3 linked regions of the Coturnix japonica genome follow. The protein of the gene in region 3 interacts with the protein of the main gene of each other region in a pairwise test. Links are inferred from orthologs where the notes say so. Each region holds a gene or a part of one and is shown on either strand. Other genes may lie near its edges.

Region 1 (3,990 bases), on a different chromosome or scaffold from region 3:
TGCATGACTTAATGCTGAGCATGATGCCAAATGGCACAGAATATCCCTTCAGTCTGTCTGGGTCAGCTGTCTCTGGTCTGTTCTTCCCCAACATCTTGTTCACATCCACTCTACTCACCTGGGGGCAGGAGAAGAGGGATGGAGAGACAGTCTTGGTAGTTCGCACACTGTTCAATGACAGCCAAATCCCTGGTGTGATTTGTTTCAGACACAAATGCAAACAACAGCACTGCACAGGCTGCCACGAGGAAAGTTAGCTCTGTCCCAGGCAGACTCAGTATAACCTTATCCCCTTATTCCATATCATTTGCGCCATTCTTAGGTTCCATGTTATCTAATGCATCTAAATACCCGCTGGACTTTTGTCCCATTCATCAAGGCCATCACTCAGGACAGGGGGAGCAGAATGTTGGATCACTGGGCACCAACACCAGCTTGAGGTGGGTCATTGTATTCACATACTTCCATGTGAAACTCACTCCCTTTTAGTTCAGGTGGTTTCTGCTGTATTACTTCCTGTATTGTACAAGTCAAATTGTGCAACGTATAGATCTCTTTGAGGTACATAACAAATTTGCTCATCCTTCCACACTGACCACCAATTACACTTTGATCTTTGAGCAAAGACAATTCTGCAAGTGGGTCATCCCTTTCCAAAAAGAAACTGTCTTTCTCAACAACTTCCCTACATGCACTGTAGGGACTTTGTGTCCTTTCATTGATTGCAATGCATGTTTCACATCTGCAGGTGGCCTGTGGGATGTTCTCAATCATCAGGTCTACCCCTCAATCACAACCACTTGGCACATTGCATCTCTCCCAATTACTGTCATTATTTCAGATTCCTCACACTTCCACAAGCCATCCAGCTGAGGAGGGGAATGAGAGAATAGATAGGTGGGCATCTAACTGCTGGCCAAGATTAACCCATCACAACCCTATGTTTGGCACCCTACATGGAGTGCACGGGTTTGAATTGGGAACCTCTCGATCTGCAATCAAACACTAACTAGTCATCGTCAGCACATGACAATCCAAACACATTCCTTTAGGACACTACTTATAGCTGAAGAAGGTTCTTGCACAGAGCAAAGATCACCTTCTTGACTGAGTTTTTTTGAGTATAATTATCAGTAGAACAGAATTCAAAGCTGATGAGGAATACATGTGATCTGCACTTCTGCAGGCAAGGACAAGGCAGCTTATCAAGGCATCGAGCATATTCAGTGAAACTTGGTTAAATAAATCATCTTTTAAATCAACCTTTGCCCAATCAAAGTCCAGTCCTACCTATAGGTACAGCTACAGGAGGGACAGCAAGAGAGGATTCCTGCAAAGGCTGCTTCACACAGATATACAGGTAAGTTATTCCTTTTTTTTGCTATATAAAACTGTGTTTTAGGAGTCTGATAATCTTGCATATAAAGTTTTCATGAAGTGAAAAGTTGTTTGCAGCCCACTATGGTCTTCCCTCCATTTCTACATATGAAGAGATAATCTGTCCTGTAAAAGCTTACTGTTCCTTCAGCTTTGTTTACTGCTGGTTTTCTGTAAACATCAGGAGTTAACCAAATTTCCCAGTGTTTGTCGAGAAAAGCTGCTCCGAGTTCTAGTTGAGATCAGTACAATGTCTAAACAATAGTGCAGGACATCCCTATGTGAAGTTATTCTTGATGCCACTATACTTAGACTCCAAAAACCACTAAGTACCTCACCAACGGGAATAAGAAACTCAGAACCCACAGCCTGCCTATCCATACATGCTGAAATGTTCCATCTTCTCCAGCTTCAGTGACATCCCTGCCAACTCCCCACTCCTCACCCATACTTTTCTATAAGCTGACTAACTAACCTTAACAACACAGTTTTAGCTTCCATAACAAATACTCTATATTTTCATGAGTAGCCAGATGTACTTCAGCAGTAGGCTGCTATCAAGAACGTGGAGAGATTTGACCACTGGCTACTTCTAAAAACAAGTAAAAGAAAAGGTCAGTTTTCACACACATAAGTTACGTGAGTGATATACAGAAACAGAAAAAAGAAAGAACTGTAAAGAGTTCATGCAGGCAGATGAAATTTTTTAGTATTTATTAGGCTGAGACTAATGGCCAACCTCTGCAACAGATCTTTGGGCTTTTCACAAACTTCTAACAGGAGCGAGAAAAAAAAACAATCAATCCAGTAAGACACACATCAAGTGTGGTAATTACCTGGATGGAGAAAGTTGCCATCATTTATCTTATTTCTTATGTCATAGTGGATCTTTGGCAGGAGTTCCTAAGACAACAAGATAGCGAACTTTGGAATTGCTCCTTGATCATAACTACTGCTTACTTTCTGAACATAATGTCTCTCTTACTGATAATGAGCTACACGAGACAATTTCATTGTATCATAAAAATATAGAATATTTTAGCTTGGAAGGAACTTCTGGAGCTCATCTGGTCCAATAGCTCATGCTAAACCAAGCCAACTTAGACCAAGTTTATCAGGGTCTCATCCAGGTAAGCACCTCCAAGGATGGAGATTCCACAGCCACTCTAGGTTCTTGTTCAAGTATCTGAAAGCACCAGAGATTAAAAAGCTGACCTTACCTCTCTCTAATTAGACTTCCCCTCACTGCGACCAGTATCTGTTGCCTCTCATCAGTATTAACATCCAAGAATAATAAGGATCTGTGTTTTCTACACCATCCGATTAGGCACTTGAAAATGCAAATAAGAACTTTCATTTACTTTCTTTTCCCAAGACTGAACAAACTCAGCTCTCTCAAACCCTCTTCAAACAAGTTGCGCTCCAAAACCTAACCCACCCCAGTGGATTAGTTTCAGTATGTCAGTGACACAGAGAGCTCAAAACAGCAGTCACGCATAGCCTTACAAGTGCCAAACAGCAGGGAACAATCCCTTCATTGACTTGCTAGATACATTCAGATATAGCCCACTATCCAGTTGATCTTCACTGCAAAGCTACACCAACTGATGTGAAGTTTTGCAGGACAACACGTAAGTGCACAAACTGACCAGCCAGCCTGTGCTGTCGTTATGCATGGTTTAGATATAGATTTTTTTCCACTTTTCTCTGTTAAATGTTTCGATATTTCTGACAGCTCCTCTCTCCAGCCTGTTGAGGTCTCTCTAAATAGCATCCCTAACCACCATCCTATTGACTGCTCCCCTCTGTTTAATATTATCCATCACGTTTGTTGAGGATATATTCTGCTGCACTGACCATGTCATAAATAAAAATGTTAAACAGTATCTATCAGTACCAGTACCAACCCTAAACATTGTCAATAAAAAGCAGCCAACAGCTGGATTAAGTGCCACCAATAAAAACCCTCTGAACCTAATGGCTCAGCCAATCTTCTGCCCACCTACAGAATCTGCTTATTCAGTCCATATGTCAACAAGTCATCCACACTTACTGTACAAGAGACCCTCTCAAAGGTATTGCAATAGTTAAAGAGTACATCGTTCATCGTTCTATGCCTGTCACAGAGCCAGTCCATTCATCTTGGAGTTAGCAGGTAAAAAGGATTCATTTAATCTCCCTTTGCACAGCTGGATTTCCCAGGAACCCAAACCTTAAGGATTCTGAAGCAAACTGTCTCAGCTTGCTTTTTTTTTTTTTTTTTAAACTCACAATTAGTTTTTCCATCCTGTTTCGTAGAGATGACTTCTGTTCTCCAGCCACGAGAGTGCAAAGTGACCAAGAAAAGCAAGAAGAGCTATGGATTTTTCCTGCGTGTGGAGAAAGACACAGCAGGACATCTCATCCGGAATGTGGAAAAGAACAGCCCTGCTGAAAAGGCTGGCTTGAAGGATGGAGACAGAGTCCTCAGGGTTAATGGTGTGTTTGTAGACAAGGAGGAACATGCAAAGGTACAAATCTGTTTAGTCTGGAGGCTACATCACCTCCCATGATCCAGACCCGCTGTCACTATTGGAAGCTTTCTCTTCCATTTCTATGGTGGAAAAGTCCGAG
Region 2 (4,225 bases), on a different chromosome or scaffold from region 3:
TAAACTTATGTTGAAAGACAGCAGTAAAATAAGTTTGCCACTTCTGCTTGAAAAATAATAATTATTTTTCTAAATGATCCTATATTTTCAGGTCTCTAACAATGCTATTTATCGTGATTTATTAAAAGAAAACACAGAAGATTGAAATCTATTCAGAAATACATACCATTTTACCCATGACAATATGAATGAATCCCTGTGATAATAAGGAAAACACATTCTACCAATGCAAACATAAATAGGGATACACAAAGGATTCAGTTTGTAAGTCTGAATTTAGACAGAAGCCTAATTGCACATGCACCTAGAAATACATAGATATACAGAACTGATATTTGAGGAGATAGATTTCATTTGAAAATACATGGGTGTCCAACCTTTTGGTTTGCTGGGCTGCACTGAATGAAAATGAATTATATTTGGCCATATATATAAATATATAATATAGTTAATACATACAAGCAACAAAAACATTATTTTTTTATTTTTTTTTATTAAAACGTTAAAAAATAACGCAACAAAAACAAAACCAGTAGGCTGGACGTGTATGAAAAGAAAAAGGAATGAAATACAGGACAAATCTATTTACATTCAACTTTATACAAACATTAGACTATCTATGAATATACCAAATTCTTCATTTCGTGCTTTTTCAGTTGCTTCTTGAAATTTTCTATCCTTGACCTGGGCATCCAATGCATCTTTATCAACCTATTAAAACAAAACAAAACAAAGAGTAATAACAACAACACACCAGCTGTTACTGGCTAAGTCACTGGATGTCATTGTAAGACATAAAAAAAAACTACTGACAATTCTTCAAGAGCCTGATAAAGTATTTTAATAGTCTCTGCCTATTAGAATCATAGAATCACTAAGCTTGGTAAAGACCTAAGATTATCTATTCCAACTATTCCAACTGTCCACCTACCACACATGCCTCTCAGTGCCACATCTACACGTTACTCAAACTATTCTGTCTCATTTCTATAACAATAAAAGAGATGTAAGTTGACCATTTGCTTCACTTTCAATCACTACCCCCCTGCTTTGCTTTCCTGATTTCTTCCAGTTCTTGCTGTTTGTTTTTTTTTCCCCCCTCAGATGACTTCCCTGTTGCCCCTCACACTTATAACCATGCACACCAGAGGATGAGAAGTGCAATAGCTATGGAGCATTTACCTCTGTCACACATGCAATTCTCATTGCATTAAAAAAGGCCAACCCACTCTGGGGAAGCAAACCTTTATAAAATACAGATTTTACGCTGTGTTCTTTTTCACCAGGGCAGAAAGCAGAGGGCCCTCCAAAATACTGTTAATGTGAATGCATCCATCAGTATTTTATCCCCACATGTTAAAAACTACTCAATCCCCAGTTCAAATATTTTTAAGCTGTCAAATATTGCCTTCATTTTTGAATTGTTGCAGACAATCACTCAGATAAATTAGTGAGAGAATGAGAAAACAAAGAATCTAAAACCTCTTATAGAGGAAATAGAGATATACTATATACCTGTATAGCTTTGTTGACTTCACCTGTTTTGGATGTGGCTTAATTGCAAACAGCAAGAACAGTCCCTTCTGTAAGCACTTCTTGCTCAGCCAACAAATATGGTATTATTAAATGATGTTCATCAAGATACTCACAGAATTCTTCCAATACTTTCACTTTAGATGTTTGTCTCGTGTAAATGGAGCTATTAAAACCTGTCCAACGGTCGTCCTACAACAGTATTTGGGAAAGACCTCCAGATATGGTGTAAATCAGCACTGCTCAGTAAAGTACACTGAGATCCAATGATCTTCCCTAAGTGAGAAATGGCATTTTACATTTAATTTTTAAGGCCCAAGAAAAGGCATCTAACAGAGAAAGTGTGTTTCCTGGCAAAGAAAGTTGAACTTTCTTACTGTGCCCACCCAACTTTTTGTTAAAACACATTATTAGCTCCTACCACTTGACTGTACCATTGGCTACCATGCGTCAGGATGCTGTACCAGCCTGTTGAGTTCCTTGCAGGAATTGCTATTTTACTATATAACTGACTGCTGCACAGAGGTCACAAGAGCAATTCCAAGGCAAACGGATCCTTCTGCTGACATGTGAGATGCTTCATTACCTGAGATCACTTAGATCAGACTGTCACCTGCTGCAACCCTACCTGCACAGTGAAGTTAACACACTGGGCTCATTTCTTTCCACTATGCGAGCTCCTAACTTCGATTATAAGCTAGGTTCTTTCCACTAAGTGAGCTTCTAACTTTGATTATAAGCTAGTTATTGCAACAGAGCCCTGAAAAGCAACTTAGCAGCAACATCTAAACTTATTTCACCTCACAACACACGCATCCAGAATGTTAACATGAGATTTCAGGCACAGTAAGGGAAAATTAACTACCACAAGTACAGAATCTTCACGGCTATTTAGATAACTACAAAGTACCACTTGATTTCCTGATACCCAAACACAAATTCGGGGTGTTTGCTGCCTCTTCCCTCCCCTCCCCGGAGCCAGACCGACTCAAATCTACTCGGCTCCACAGCCGGGCAGGCTCCAACCGCGCCCCGACCCGCAAAGGAGGCTTCGGCAGCGCCTCACCCCGATGGTCCGAACTCGCACGTTAAAGATGCGGCCCTGACGCTGCAGCTCCCGCTGCCGCCGCCGCTCCAGAGCGGCCGCCTCCTGCAGCTCCCGCTGCTGCACCGTCAGCCCGCTCATGGCGCCGGCAAGGAGCACAAGCGGCGACGATGGCTACCAAAGCACAACACACCGCATCGCCATGGCAATGAGCTCCCGCCCCCTCCCAGCGCCTGGTGGCCAATCAGGCGGGGCAGGGAGCACGAGGCAGGCTGCGGCCTTCTATGTCGGCCGCTAAGGGGCGAGGCTGAGCTTGGAGGGGTGTCAGCTTTGCCGTCGTCTGGAGGCCTCCTGCTGTGGGGTTTCTTTCCCTTCGTGTCTCCTTCTGGAAGACAAGCCATTAAAAAAAATACCTGGTGGTTTGAATTTTGTGTGTGGCCGAAGTTGGAAGGGGGGAATGGCCTCTGCACCCACTGCCCAAGGGATGGGCTACCTGAAGCTGCTGATGGTGAAGGACTTCAAGTCCTGGCGTGGGGAGCAGCTTATTGGCCCCTTCATGAGGTTCAACTGTATAATTGGGCCCAATGGATCAGGTAGGAGGCTGGAAAGGGGCATTTGGTGGTTGTGTGTGTCCTCCACTGCTGCCAAGATGGAGGTTTCTGTTGCCTTTGCCCTGCTTTCCCAGGCTTTTTCCCAGTCTTAGTTCTGGGCTCATTTTCAGGTCTCTTCAAGACTCATGAGGAAGAACCCATAACAGCAATTGCATCCAAGTGTGGGCCCAGTAATTGGGCTACCACAGCCCTATTATGGCACCGAATGGGCAGCAGCTTGTCCCCTGAGGAGCAGAACTACATGGTTTTGCACAGGGGATGTAGACTTATGTGGCCTCTTTACAGGGACCTGAGGGCTTTTTTTTTTCTTTTGTCATAAAAGTGTTTTATCATGTCAGTGAATATGTCAGATCATCTTTCAGATTTCCTTGCCCCAGGAGGTGGAGTAATAAAGAGAAACAGTAATGTCTCTTAACTTGTACTATTTGCATTGTGGAAAACAGTATGAAAATCTTCCATCGCATGACTAAGGCAAACTTTAAGGTAGCAGGCTTTGTTAGAGGCAGGGAATTGGTTAGACAGGATTTGGTCTAGATTTGATGAGAAAAATAAATGACATTAAGAAATCCAAGGAAAGCTGTTTGGGTCAAGTTGTGTAATATTTTGAATGCTTTCCCTTTCTCACATTTAGAAAAAATAGCAGTATCACCACCAAACACTTTGGACATAGCAGTTTAGTCCTCAAGAGCCTTTGCTTGTCAGTGTGTCTCAGCATAGTTAGGTGGTGGGTGCTGGAAGTTTTAAAACGGGCTCGTTTCTGCTGAACACGCTATTCAAGCAGATGGGATTTTATTCTTTACTTGGCAGAGAATAAGGCGATGCTCTAATGAGGAGCCACAAGGACAGGCTTAGCATTTGGTCTTAGTTCCCCAGTCCATTAGTTTATGATTTTGGTTTTAGATCCTGCTGCTCCTGCAGCTTACAGGTGGTCTGGCTCAGTCTGTGCTGAGCTCCACATCTTGCCCAGCATCATTATGGCACCTGTTCTTCTCCACCAGCTTTTTCCATTGCTCAGCAACAGCCAAACACTGGTGTA
Region 3 (4,309 bases):
TTTGAGATGTGGTTGGCCTTAGGGACAGCATCGTGCTTGGGGGAATGGTGGGCACTGAGCTGTGGTCAACACTGAGTATGAGGGCAGTACTGGGGACACAGCTGGTGATGGGCGCACAGTTGGCACTCAGAACACAATTACCCTCATTGTTGAGGTTGGCCTTAGAGACATCATTGGCCTCAGCAACAGGGTTGACCCTTGGGGAATGGTCGGCACTGGGGACGTGGCCATGGCATCGTGCTCATCCCCTCTATATCTTGGGACTGTGGGGGACCCTTCAGGCACAGAGACCTGGCAGCCCCCCCTGCCCCCATCCCACACAGCCGCAGCCTCACCTCGGATCTGCAGGTTGGAGAAGCTCTGCACAGGGACGGTGATCCTGCGGGAGCAATGGGAACGTTGGGGAGAGCACTGGGTCCCCATGTGTGAGCAGGAGGGCTGCAGGGTGCTCACCAGACCCAGCAGCACCAAAAAGGCCCCGAGATAGTTCAGGACAGGGGGGTCCATCACCTGCTCTCCTCGCCCTCCAGCAGCTTCCTGTAGGTCGCAATCTCAATGTCCAGGGCCAGCTTGACGTTCATCAGCTCCTGGTACTCCCGCAGCTGCCGGGCCATCTCCTCCTTCAGGCCGCGGATGTCCTCCTCCAGCCGCCCCACTGTGTCCTGGTAGGCGGACGTCTCCAGCGCGTAGCGCTCCTCCAGCTCCCGCAGCTGCCGCTCCAGGGACTCGTTCTGGTGACCATTGTGGGATGTGATGCCCTCGATGCCACCTCCCTCCATGGGCACCCACCCATGGTGGCACGACCCAAGGATGCGTCCCACCTCATGCCCCATGGGTGGCACCTACCGAGCCCCGCAGAGCCTCCAGGTCACAGGTGAGGGCCTGGAGCTGCCGCCGGTACTCGTTGGCCTCATGCTTGGCCGCACGCAGGGCCTCTGCATGGCGGGCAGCTGCATCCGTCAGGTCTGCAAACTGGAAGGGACGCACCGTAGGGTCAGCTCTCCAGTGCCACTGCCCCATAGAGCCACCCAGCCACAGGAGCAGCCAGCCCAACCCATGGGGGTGATATATGGGGACAAGGTGCCACCCGCACCTTGGATTTGTACCACTCCTCGGCCTCCTGCAGGTTAGTGACGGTGATGGACTCGTACTGAGTGCGGATGTCACGCAGCGCTGCCGTCAGGTCTGGCTTGCTGGCGTCCACCTCCACGTGCACCCGGTGCTGGGCCAGCTGCTCCTGCAGCTCCCGCAGCTCCTGCAGGGAAGCGGGGTCAGCACAGCCATGGGATCCACCCCCAGAGCCCCACATCACAGCAGCGTTACCTCCTCGTGCACCTTCTGCAGGAAGGCCACCTCGTCCTGCAGGGTCCCCACGCGACGCTCCAGGTCGAGGCGAGCCAGGGCAGCAGCATCAACATCCTGCCACCAGGTGACATGGAGGGATCGTACCCAGGGTGGGCATGGGGGTCTGTGCCCCCATCCCTGCCCATCCCTCCATCCCATCCCATCCCATTCCAGCCCTGTCCACAGAGCCCAGGAGAGGAGGACTGGCCCCCACTCCCCATCCCATCCCCTACCCTCACCTGCCGGTATGCAGCCAGGGTGCTCTCAGCCTCCAGCCGCAGGGTGACCTCCTGCTGCAGCCTTCAACAGAGCAGTGACGCATTACTTATTAGGTGCCATTACTCGTTAGGCACAGTGCCTCATTACTCATGGTGGCCACGTGCAGCTCAGCCCCATAGACAGACCCCCCTAGTGCAACCCCACTGCACTTATACCATCCCAGTAGCCATTTCTTAGTTCTGCTGGCTGCTTTGGTCCCCATCACTACCCTAGTTATTATCCTGGTCCTGATGACCTTGTTAGTGCTGCTGGGCTCCCCAATACTTGTTCCAGTAGACAACTTTGTCCCTGGGATCACTATTGTCATGGTGGGCACACCGGTCCTCATCACCATCCTGGTCCTCATCCTGGTTGTGGTGGCCACTCTGATCCCCAGTACCACCTAAATCCCCATTAACACCTTGGTCCCCATTCTCAACCTTGATCCAGTCCCTGTCATCCACCATGATCCTTGTGGCCACCCTGCTCCCTGTTTCCACTCCGGCCCTGCTGCTCATCCCATCACCCATCACCACGCAGGTCCCCATCCTGGTCCCATTGGCCACCCCAGTCCCCATCGTTATCCCCCCTGGTTACAGTGTCTGCCTTAATCCCCACCACCTCCTCAATCCTCATCACCGCTCTGTTCCCCACCACCAAACTGGTCCCCATCCTTGTCCTGTTGGCCACCTCAATCCCCACCCCCCAATCCCCCATTGCAGGACCCCCCCATACTTGTCCCGCAGGCTCCCCAGCTCCTCAGCCAGGCCGTCCCTCTGCACCTCGGCGCGGGCCTTGGCGGTGCCCAGCAGCTCCACGCGGCGCCGCAGCTCCCGCAGCTCCTCCTGGTACACGTCAGCCAGACGGGTCGGCTCCTGCTCCCGCACCCGGTTCAGCTCCAGCACCAGCACCTTATTGCGCTGCTCCAGCAGCCGGACCTTCTCAATGTAGCTGGCGAAGCGGTCGTTCAGCTCCATCATCTCCACCTTCTCGTTGGTTCGGGTCTCCCTGAACTCCGAGTTGAGGAGGTTGGCCATAGAGAAATCCATCCTGCTCGATGTGTGGGGTGTGGGGTGAGCGCTGCGGGGACGGGGCCGCGCTGTGGGGCTCCATGATGAGACAGTGGGGCTGGAGCGGCGGCCGTAGGATGACCAGCGGCTCTCCATGGTGAAGGTGGGTGCGATGTGAGCCGTGGTGGGGTTTTATGGCCATGGCATTGGCTGGAGGCCACGCAGCACAAAGCTGGGCTTTGTGGCACCCAGCGGGGGGGAGGGGGGGGCTGAGGGCTGGCAGCCAGCCCTGTGTGCTAAATAGTGCTGGCAGTGCCCAGAGAGCAGGGGGTAAAAGCTGGGGCAGAGCGGGGACACAGTGCCCATGGGGCAGCGTGGGTGTGTGGGGCACTGTAGGTCCTGGGTGCGATGCCATGGGGCACTATGGGGTGAACCTGGCAGAGCAGGAAGGCTGCTAATTAAGGCCAGCTTTAATTAGCTGAAACGTCCTGAGCCCATTCCAGCCCAGTGGTGCCAGAGCTGTCTCAAAGGTCTCAGTGTGCCCAGCACAGCAATGAGATCCCTTTGTGCAGCGCCGGGAAATGGGCACGGGGTGAGGGTGGGGGCAACGGGCACAGGGACATTGCTGGGCTCAATGGGGTACGGGCATGGGGACAGCCCGGGGATGGACCAGGATCAGCTCAGTGGCTGTGGGTGGGGGACAGAGCCCATAGGTGACAGCTAGATGGCAGCCAACAGCTGAGAAAACCCAACTAGCATGGGAACAAGGGCCGGGCCCCAGCCCAGAGCAATGGGGAGGAACACTGGGAGCCCCTTAACACCCCCCCCTCCGCATTCACAGCCCTGCATCAGGCATCGTCCTTCAGCACCCCCAGCCCCAGGTTTGGTTCTAGAGCTGCAAAACCACAACCCCTATGTGCTGAGAGCCCAAGTGGGGCAGGGACAGCTCTGCTGCTGCACTGGGAGCCCTTTGGGACCCCCCTCCCTTCCCCAAATCCACGTGGAGGGATGGGGCAGAGGGTGCCCCCACTGTGGTCTCCCAGGATTTATTTTCTCCCCGCTCCCACGCAATGGGATCAAAGCAGAGATGCTGTCACTGCGGGGACACAGAGCCAGCCCCCCCCCCCGCCTTAATGAGGCAAACGAATGTAGAAGCTTTAATTAGAAGCTTCCAGCCTGAGAGAAGACAGAGGGGAGAGCAAAGTAGGGCAGAGAGCAGTGACCCCAGCCCCTATGGGGAGCGCTGCATGGGACAACGGGGCCAGAACATACCAGGGGCTGTGGGGCAAAGGCAGCCATGCAGCTTTTGGGGCCTCGGTGCAAAGTCATCACCTCTGCTGGTGGCCCCAAGGACCCCACAGTAGAGGGAGAAATGCTCTGAAGCCCCAAAGGGACAATAGAAAACCACCCCTGGGAGCCCAGCACCGCTCTGAGGCTGAGGGGGGAGAAGCAGCCCCACATCTTCCCTCACTCCTTTGGGTTTAAGCTGTAAGATTTATTAAAAGCGCGTGGTATTGCTTAGCATTGCCCATCTGTCAGCACTCGACACCCCGAGAGGGGCTGAGAGGGAACAGCAGTGATCCATCTGCTACAAAATACATGGGGCTGTGCAGAGGGAGGAGGGCAGGAGGGAGCAGGGAAACCAGCCAGGGAACAGCAGGGCAGTGTTTGGGGTGGTCGCCCTTCTACCTCCCTGG

The links. The genes of interacting proteins can lie anywhere in the genome.
Region 1: the proteins of GFAP (region 3) and PDZK1 interact in binary tests that used the Homo sapiens proteins (3 or more experiments, as listed by UniProt). The link is inferred for Coturnix japonica from reciprocal best matches to the Homo sapiens genes GFAP and PDZK1.
Region 2: the proteins of GFAP (region 3) and RIBC2 interact in a two-hybrid assay, tested with the Homo sapiens proteins (2 studies listed by BioGRID and IntAct). The two-hybrid records come from large-scale screens. The link is inferred for Coturnix japonica from reciprocal best matches to the Homo sapiens genes GFAP and RIBC2.

The regions. Positions count from the first base shown.
Region 1 is NC_029516.1:83,006,927-83,010,916, reverse strand, and holds the start of PDZK1 (Na(+)/H(+) exchange regulatory cofactor NHE-RF3), read left to right. Parts: upstream 1-1,180; 5' UTR 1,181-1,360; intron 1,361-3,675; 5' UTR 3,676-3,677; coding exon 3,678-3,887; intron 3,888-3,990. UniProt on the Homo sapiens protein: A scaffold protein that connects plasma membrane proteins and regulatory components, regulating their surface expression in epithelial cells apical domains.
Region 2 is NC_029516.1:64,767,072-64,771,296, reverse strand, and holds the start of RIBC2 (RIB43A-like with coiled-coils protein 2), read right to left. Parts: upstream 2,811-4,225; 5' UTR 2,720-2,810; coding exon 2,600-2,719; intron 712-2,599; coding exon 630-711; intron 1-629. Other genes in the region: SMC1B (structural maintenance of chromosomes protein 1B), read left to right, coding at 3,036-3,171. UniProt on the Homo sapiens protein: Microtubule inner protein (MIP) part of the dynein-decorated doublet microtubules (DMTs) in cilia axoneme, which is required for motile cilia beating.
Region 3 is NC_029542.1:787,771-792,079, forward strand, and holds the start of GFAP (glial fibrillary acidic protein), read right to left. Parts: upstream 2,801-4,309; 5' UTR 2,769-2,800; coding exon 2,338-2,768; intron 1,645-2,337; coding exon 1,584-1,644; intron 1,420-1,583; coding exon 1,324-1,419; intron 1,256-1,323; coding exon 1,094-1,255; intron 973-1,093; coding exon 847-972; intron 732-846; coding exon 511-731; intron 380-510; coding exon 336-379; intron 1-335.